Regions from separate parts of the Mus musculus genome. Here regions 1 and 2 are each reported to be linked to region 3. Evidence: microRNA targets listed by miRTarBase, many of them from high-throughput screens and not tested one by one. Region 3 holds a microRNA gene; each other region holds the end of a gene's coding sequence.

Region 1 (3,000 bases), not on the chromosome of region 3:
ATTAAATGTTTTCGATCACACAGCAGGCACCTGAGTACCCGCCGGGAGCAGCAGTTCAGTATCTGTTAGTCTAATGTGGACTAGTAGTGACCATAAGAGCGGTAGCTACAGCGGTCTGTTCCCTGGAGCCCTGACGGAGCATCTGAGCGATCACTGCACACTTCCACTCCCCATAAGGCAAACTCTAACGCTAATGGTGAGAAAGCAGAGAGCCTGGCCTAGTGTCAGAATGAGGCAGCAACACAGCCCCAAGCCTGACGTGATCACAGCTGGTTTGAGTTTGTAAGGCTCATGAACAGTCTGTGTGTGTGTTGGTCAGGCTGACAGTGGAGCCTTCCCTGCAATCCATTGTGACACCACTTTCTCCCTGTCAGTACATGGCTCGGTTACCCATTCAGTTGCTTAAGCCTAAAATATCTCAGCGTCATCCTTGGTTCTCTTAGCGGGTCTCTCACAGAGGAGGGAATACTGAAGGACCAAACACAGGCCTTGCTGGGTGTCCCCCAGCCCCACCCCACCCCACCCTCTGCCCCCAGCATCTTAGCAATCTTTGGGTCTTTGGATCACAGTCTTTGGGTCTGGTTTTATTTCTACGTATTTGTCCTGGAGTCAATCAAGCCTGTGCAATGAGGTCCCCATAAAAATTCCAAGGGTGGGGCTGAGAGCTTCCACGTGGACAAAGGAAAATTCCTCATTCTTGTGCTGCTGGGTTCTGATTCCTGGTCTGCATTTTTGTCTGTCATGGGAGGTGAGGAGGTGAGAGGAAGCAACCACTTTGCTCAAAGTCCCTGCAGTGGTAGGTGAGGCTCTGCAACCCTCCTCTGCCCTCAGCATCATCTGGCCACAGCCACCTCCTAGATACCAACCTTTAAACTACCATGCACCACTGTGTGTGTGCCCGCATGTGTATGTGTGTGTGCATGCTCATGCAAGTGCACGTGGCTTACAGAACACAAGTTTTAGTAGTTTTCTCCTTCCACCATGTGAGTCCCAGGGATTGAACTCAGGTGGCCAAGCTTTGTGACAAGCACCTTTACCTGCTGTGCCATCTTGTCAGTTCCTTCCCCATACTTTTGTCACCAAATTGTTGTGTTAAATGTCCTTTGTTAAAAACATCCAGAATGGGGCAGGAGAGATGGCTCAGCAGTTCAGAGCACTGGCTGCTCTTCCAGAGGTCCTGAGTTCAATTCCCAGCAACCACATAGTGGCTCACAACCATCTGCAATGGGATCCGATGCTCTCTTCTGGTGTGTCTGAAGACAGCGACAAAAACCCAACAAAACTCTAGAACGGTTTCAGGTTTCCTGGCTGGGAACCAGTTGATACCACTCCAAATTGCTCCTGAATCTCTCCTCCACTTCCACCCCGCTTAAGCAGCTCCTCCAAACACTGCCACAGCCGTGCTCCCTGGAGCCACACGCTCTTGCCTGTGCCTCTCAACCACCAGTGGTTAGTCAGGCGTCCCCACAACCCGCTCCTCGGAGTTCAACATATTGCAGAACCTAGAGAAACACTTTTCTCAATTTTTCATGAAAGATGGTCAAAGGATGCAGGTGAAGGGGTGAACAGTGGGCACGGTGGCTCAGGCCTGTAATCCTAGTACCCAGAAGCAAAAGGTGATAATGAACTCGTAACGCCTGAGCTTCATAGTGAACTGTAGACCACTCTCGGCTGTACAGAGAACCAGTCTAAAACAAATACAATTATTTTAAAATTCACAAAGATGTGTAAGATGCATGCCACCTTTTGGGAACCTCCCTGTATCTGACTGTCTGAAAACTCTCCAAGGCCTGACCTTTTGAGTTTCCATGGAGACATCACACGAAGGAACAGCTGAAACCTGGACCACTATGCTGGCATGTGACTGGGCAAAAATGGTCTGATCTAATGCTGTGGTTTGGGTGGGATGCCAAGTGAGGTCTGGAAATTACTCAGTTTGCTTCCTTGCTGGTAAGGGGCAAGTGCCCATCTAAATGAGGGTCTTGGTCTATTATCCAGATAGGTCAACAAATTTAAGAATAAACTGGGTTTGCTGAATATACCTGAAGGCCTGGTACCTGGGAGGTAGAGGTGGAGGCGGGAAGATCAGGCCTTCAAGACCAGCCTGCACAGATAGTTCGAAGCCAAGCTGGGCTACAGGAGATGCTGCCTCACAACACAAACAAAAGTAAAATAAAAGAATGTAAGATTGTAGGAGCAGATGTCCATGATTGCCTTGGGGAAAGATTCGGGGTTGTGGGCTGCTTGGGGAGAAAGGGAGGTGAAAGAAGGGCAGAAGGTCAAATAGAAGGACATGATTCTCAGAGGCACAGGCAGGCCTGCTGTAAGGCCCCAACCCGACCCTACTCACTCTAGAGAGCATCAGGGCAATGGGACACTAATGAGCCAGAAGCCATGGGTGAAAACCAGTATGTATTCCATCACAACCTGACAGAGCAGTCTGTGTGTCTCTGGAAGCTCTGTCCCCAACCTGTGTCCTGGGGCTCTCAGAGTCCCAGTTCTTCCAACTCAGAGGCCCACAGCAGAGTGGCTACATCCTTCCTCTGGAATGGCAACGGGAGGCAGGTGTAAACAAGGTGTGCCCTGCCCTCGAGGACAAGGCAGCAGGGTTCATGTTGACAGAGCCCAGCTGTGGAGCAGGGAGACATTAAGCTGCCAACAGAGACCACATCTTCATCTAACTTTGAAGCACAGTCCCAGGAGGAGGCTCAGATGAAAGTCAGTGTCTCCGCATCCCCAGCCTGGGAGGCAGAGTTGGGTGGAGGGGTGAATACTTTTTTGCCTTCAGCAAGAGCTTTAAAATGCTGCAAGAAAGGAGAGGACATGTTTGCAATATGCTGGCTGCTGCATTTTAACAAAGAAAACCACTTTAAAATCCCTTTAAGTTAAACTGAGTGTGCTGGCACAGGCCTGTCACTCCACAGTTGGGAGACTGAGGCAGGAGGATCACTGTGAATCTAAAGCTAGGCTGGGCTACACTATGAGTTCCAAGTCAACTTG
Region 2 (3,000 bases), not on the chromosome of region 3:
CAAAGTTATTAAACATTCTTCCAACCACTTAAGTTACACATAAAAGCACCTACAAACTTAGACTTAAAAAGATTCACAGTGCACTGCACCTCGGAACACATGCAGTTGGATCCTAAGGATGTTTAAAAGCGATTTTAAAGTCTCACCTCTCAAACACAAATAATAATAAGGCCGACGTATCTACTGTTCCCTCTAGAGTCTGTCTCTAAATGCGGCACTACACAGAAGCACATTACTGCATATTCAGAGTCCTCATCACTAGATCCTATGAAGAAACGCTAACATAGCTCAGAGAAGAAATCCCGTCCTGTGCTAAATATGGTCTCCCAGCTAAACTGTACAGTGAAGAAGTGTGTACGCTGGACTTACATTAACAAGAACACCAACTTAACATTTTCTGCATAGTTGAGTCACATCACACATACAAACCTTACTCTCTCAACATTTCAGCCTGTTGAGAGACCTAAAGCCTAAAGTTATTGTAAATGCACCCCAACCATGCCCTTGCTTTGTTCCACAGTGCATTAAATGAAGCAGCACATCACTGGTTGGTTCTTACAGTCAACCACTTTAAGGGCCATGGACCTTGTGCTAGCTAGTTGATTTTGCTCTAGTATGGAGAGCTGAGAATCCAACCTCTACAGGCACCAGGGACTGACTGAAGTGCTCACTTAAGAAGAATATCTCTCTCTCTCTCTCTCTCTCTCTCTCTCTCTCTCTCTCTCACACACACACACACACAATGGTTTCTTGGTGACAGTCAGGGAGTGACAGTGGCTCACTGCCAGGCAAGCTTCAGTTTTCACTCCCTTAACCATTTAACAGAAATCTGGAATGCTGGGACCAATTATAAATATGGCTCAAGAAGACCCAAGCAAAGCAGCTGTATTTCTGACAAGAACAGTAAGGGCTTCCAAACACAATCATATAATGCATTAAAAAGCAAAGGTCACAGAAGGATTCACAAAGTAGTCGCATAGAAGATTCCAAACATACTGTATCACTGTGAAGTCTCCTGCTTAGCACCGAGTGACACTTTCATGAATAAATATAATTTCTTCTTTAAAATCAGTCATTTAAAAGCTAAAGCAAAGTAGTAATACCAAGTGAATTCCTTACAATAATAGCCCTTCCTTTTAAGTCCCATGGGGTTAGGCAGAACCCCCAGTTAAATAGGCTACATATACAGCATAGAGATTTCTATAGTACTATTTATAAGCAGAGATATACTTTGTGGATACCACTTGTTAAAACCGCACACGACAGACGCACGTGTACACATGCACTCTAACAGCACAGTCCACCCCAGAAGAGATTCTCAGCGAGGTCAGGGGCAGCCAACATCATATTGCCTCCTTAAAGCTCTGGTGATTGTCCTCAACAACAGGCGATCTCTGCAAAGTGGGCACTGTCACCCGTGTTTGGTTTAAGAATTCTGAAGGAGCAAAATACAAAATACATTCCTACGTGTGATCTAAGTACATTACTTCAAGGGTCGGTCCCCTAGTGACATGCTGGACTTACTGGTAAACTGCAGATCCCCTTCTTTCTCACGTTGTAACTCAGGGGCTTCAAGATATTAATGAAAAGCATGTCAGTCTAGTATTACTGCAAACTGGAACCTAACATAATACCAGCTTACACAGATCAACGTTGAGATGCAATATAGAACTAAGAATGAAGTTTTCCACACAGACTCACAACTAGAATACGCATAGACGTTTCACACAGGCATAATCACGACACAATACTGAACGGACGGAGGCAGGAGAGTCAAGGCATGACCTGGAGTAACTGTCAGCTATTGCTTCCATGCTCTCTGCTCCAGCACTCACAGGTTTTTGACAGCAAACATCAGAGCTCAATATCCACAGCATCAGCTCCCCACTGACTCCATCTCTCTCCAGGCTGTGGATGTGGTCCTGATGAAGTGCTCGAGGTTCACTGTGCAGCTCCAGTTGGAAGGTTAGACTCTCAGTGGTTAGAGGCAGAGATGAGTAAACGCCTGCATCCTCACCTCACGGTTCAGCTCTGATGCCCAGTACATTGGTAACTGGGGTTTTAAGTTCCTTTAAGTTTTCAATAAGCAAGCTTTTTGCAATCACTAAGATGGGGAGGTGAAACACTCCTATTGACATGGCTACTTGCTGATGATGCAATCAAAACAACTCTTGATGAGAATATAAAACAAAACACAGTCACACAAAAATAAGGGAGAGACAAAAAAAAACACAGGCAACTAAAACTTGGTTCCAAACACTGAAATGGTAAATCCATATAAAAAGTTCTAAATGCATTTACAGTGCAAACTTGTGTTTCTTTCTAGTTTCTCGTCTGTACAGAACATCTCTTTAGAAACATGGCCTCCCTGCACTTCTTTCAGATACCTGAGAAAGGTAAGGCTTGAGGAGACAGCCACTCACACGCAACAGGTCTCAGATCGAGGGACTTCTGCAATACTCTTGCTGGCTCAAAGGTCCAAGATTTTCATTATAGCATTTTGGTCAAACTTGAAACTCAGAAAGGCTCTGGATGAAAATGGGAACTTGCAATGTCCGTTGCATGCCACAGAATGTCCCTCAGCATGTTCTACCGACGGCTCTTCACCAGAACAAGGCAGGTCACATGTGGCATCTGCTTAGGAAACAGAATTAGTAGACAATAACTCAGAAAGTTAACCAGAAATTGCCTTTCACGCACTCACATGTTTAAGTTAAGTCTTCCTGACTCGATCCTAAACACCTCACTTTAGGATTCAGTGGAATCGGTTACTGCTTATTTCTACTTATTTCTATTAATTCAGATATTTAGCCTACCTTTTAAGACCCCTGCTTTCGAAATGGGCATGTTTTTAGCACCTATATTTGTATTTTGTGCAACAGTAACCAAAGCTCCTTGGCAGAGGTTATTATAAAAATTACAATTTAAAAAAACTGTAAAGATTAGAAGTATAGGAAAATACAGTTGAAGTTATCAAATTTTAGTAGATTAAAACAGAAA
Region 3 (3,176 bases):
TGTGGTATTTATTAATAATGAGATCTCTGATTTATAGGAGGTGCACTCCATGCCAGACACTGTGGCAAGTTTAATACAATAACTGTGAGGTATCCGTTACTGCTAAAACTCAAGTTTAATAAATGTAAGCTTCATACTCATTTTAGAGACGAGAAACTGAGATTCAAGTATATTTTACCTACTTTAAATCTTAAATACTTTAAATCTTAAATATCTTTTTTTTTTCCTCTAGGGGCTGAGCACTCTGGCCCACCCTACCTAAAGTAACAGTTTGCCTCTACCCAGGTGCTCACAAACTCCCTTAATGTCTCCCCTCTTCCCCCACTCAGGATTTTCTAACACACAAGACTTTTACCGTCATGTTTATACGAGCATGCCTTGCCAAATGTCAACATGGAAGAGATGTTGCCAGTGTTGTTCACCGATAAATATCCAAAGCCACTAGAATAATGTGCAGCACATAGTGGTCTGTATTTGATTATCAGTGACCAGTTGGTTACATAACTCCCTCAGGTGCAAATTACCTGGAAACTGAAAGCACACAGCTTAGGAACCCAAGCTGCAGAGTAGACAGTTTGGGGTCTAAATTACATCGTCAGCCACTTCAGTGAACTCTGACCCTGTGTAGCTTGTTCTTCCCAAGCCTCAGTTTCCTTGGTAATAGAGTAGACCAGTAACATTTGCCTTTCAGGATGGAGTAAGGATTAATGCAGACATCTATGCAGTTTTTGGCATATAGTGGGCATTCCGTAAATGTTAACTTCTCCCCGAGGATGCTCTTGTGTCTTCTTGCTTCTCATTTCTCCTCTGATGGTCTACCCTCTGACTGAACCACTGTTCCACAGTGCTGTGTAAGAGGGCAGAGCTGCTGAGGGCAGAGGACAGTGGGATTATCTGTCCTGTTAACTAGCCCTAGCTGCCTGCCTCCTTCTTCCTCCTTCCAGGATGTTCCTGTTGCCAAGGAAACACAACCTCAGCCCTTGGCAGGTTTCTGACTCCCTGTGGCTTGGCTACTGAGCTTACAAAAGGAATGAGACAGCGGTGACCATGGGCAGAGAGGTAAGGGGAGGGATTTGACTGTCCTCCTGAAGTTGGAGTCTGGAATCTCTGGAACCCTGAGATGATGAAATGATGAAATGTTCTCTGTCTCCATGTTCCTCTAACAGAGGCTGTGTTGGAGTTCTTGCTTGGTCCAGCCTTCTTGGTAGGGATGTGATGCCCAAGCCCTGGGAGGGGGCCATAGCAGCCAGAGTGACTCATATTCAGACTCTTGGCCCTCGGAATGGCACCTTCCCAGAGTTGGGACTGTTGGTGATGGAGGTGACCTGGAGAAAGTGACCAGGCTGGCCTGGTGAGGGCGCTCTCCATGTGGGTGTGGCCTGCTCTTCCTGCAGGCTTTGGTGTGACTCTGGTAGGATTGCTTCAATTCTCAGCTCTCTGGGAACTCTGTTTCTCCCTTCCCACTTAGCCCTTGACTTGGAGAAGGATGAGAGACTGTGGCTTCTGCCCAAACCAGTTGGCTACCTGAATGAAGTGGGTAGGCACGGCAGGGCAGGTAAGCATGCTAGTGGGAGACAGCCAGACTGTCTGGGACGCCACCCCACCTTTGCTTATCCCAGCTGTGTGATCCCGAGGAACCACTTAACCCACCCCTATAATTATAGCCTCTTCCTCTAGGGATTGCTGCAGGGATTAAGCGAGTTGGTTCTTGTAAAGAGTTTATGTCCAACCTAGACACGCTGAGCTCACTCACTGAAAGCCATTATTGTCATTCTGAGGGGGAACATTCCTGGAGGAGACTGCATCAGACAGAGTAAAAGCGATATTATTGTTGTAGTTATTATTACTATTAAAATTGTTAAAGATCGTTTTGAGGGGGTATTCTTGAAAAATGGAACGAAGGATGGGAAGGATCCCACTTCTGCCTTGGCTAGAGTTGATCATGTGTTATTCACCTGCCCTGAAGGTGGCTTTTCCATTTTTTTTTTTTTTTTTTACTTTTTACAACTTGGAGCATAACCTAAAAAAAAGATGTCAGGGACCTAAGTGGGTCTATGGGACAGAAGAAAGATGGGTGTGTGTGCTCCAAAGTGGACAACGAGGGCTCAGAGGCCATGAGCCTCAGGATGAGGAAGTGGAGGAGTTAAGGGGATGGGGACAGTGGCCTCCTAAGCCTTGCTGAAGCTTGCACCCACTCACCCGTGGCTGATAACGCTCAGGAAGTGAAATGAAGGTCTGGAGCCAGGGGCACCCAGCTCCAATATCTGGATGCCTGGTGAGTGGCGGGCAGGTGATGTTGGGTTGGTTCAGAGTCTGCCCATCTTCCATAAAGTTTAACCTGGTATTTTTTTCCTCCAATATAAGCTTCTTGGGTGTAGGAGACTTAACCTTCTCACTGAGGGGAGCTGGTTACCTTCTTCATGAGAAACCCACGAGGTCCTTAATCAACACTTGCTGAATGGACACACGGATAAATGAATGCATAGTGTTTGCTTCTCAGGCGCAGTAACCTGAGAACCTAGCTAGACTTTTAAGAAAGCCCCTTATAGTCCCCTCCCACACTATACTTGGCTTTTTCCATCCAGCTGGAGGGAAGGTGGTGTGCGTGTGGGGTATCAAACATGTTATCTTTACTCACTGTTACAAACCTAGAGCCCTACCCAGGCCCTGTTGCAGAACAGGGGCTCAGCCAATAGCTGTTGAATGAATGAACGCCACGGAAAGCCTTCTTACCCTGAGTTTGCTCTCAGCAGTTAGGGAGCCTTGAACTTCTTTCTTTGACTCCCCTGACATTCCCACCAGATAGGATGAAATGGCACTGCCAGACCCCGTGGCCTGAAACTCAACCGGGGGTGGGGGGGGGGGAGGGATCAGGCATCCTCTGGAGTTGGCCGTCACACTTGGTGTCCTTGGCAGGCTGTCTCGCTGGTTTTTATTTTTATTTTTTCCTACTCCCATTTCTCATGCTGACATGTGTGGCCAGTCAATGGAGCTCGCTATCTTGTCATTTCCTACTGCTCTGCGCTGCATTTGCGACCAGTCCCCGTGGGCTCTGGGTCTTCCTTGTCTTACTATCTCAGATCCACTTGTTCAGGTCTGAAAAGGCAAGGGCTTCCGGGGTGAACGGGGAAAGGTCTGAGCAGCAAGTGTACAGCCGCTCACCCTTAACATGATGG

The links. The annotated mature microRNA mmu-miR-3085-3p reads UCUGGCUGCUAUGGCCCCCUC and lies in region 3 at 1,231-1,251, opposite strand. An mRNA with a match to its seed (bases 2 to 7 or 8) in the 3' UTR can be bound and repressed. Matches are read on the target gene's strand: a 7mer-m8 pairs with bases 2 to 8, a 7mer-A1 pairs with bases 2 to 7 and ends in A, and an 8mer does both.
Region 1: miRTarBase lists Ift46 as a target of mmu-miR-3085-3p. Seed matches in the 3' UTR shown: 7mer-m8 at 1,305-1,311 and 7mer-m8 at 1,157-1,163.
Region 2: miRTarBase lists Dcp2 as a target of mmu-miR-3085-3p. The part of its 3' UTR that is shown has no 7-base or 8-base seed match.

What each region holds. Positions count from the first base shown.
Region 1 is chr9:44,790,289-44,793,288 of GRCm38, reverse strand. Ift46 (intraflagellar transport 46) reads right to left here. Exons shown (of 12, transcript NM_023831.3): 12 at 575-2,804. The coding sequence ends at 2,709. Among named protein-coding and RNA genes, the nearest start is that of Tmem25, 7.5 kb to the left of the region's middle.
Region 2 is chr18:44,417,200-44,420,199 of GRCm38, reverse strand. Dcp2 (decapping mRNA 2) reads right to left here. Exons shown (of 11, transcript NM_027490.1): 11 at 1-2,634. The coding sequence ends at 2,471. Among named protein-coding and RNA genes, the nearest start is that of Dcp2, 38 kb to the right of the region's middle.
Region 3 is chr19:42,278,865-42,282,040 of GRCm38, forward strand. Mir3085 (microRNA 3085) reads right to left here and starts at 1,306; the gene lies at 1,218-1,306. Gm34347 (a long non-coding RNA gene) reads left to right here. Exons shown (of 3, transcript XR_386718.4): 1 at 1-1,059.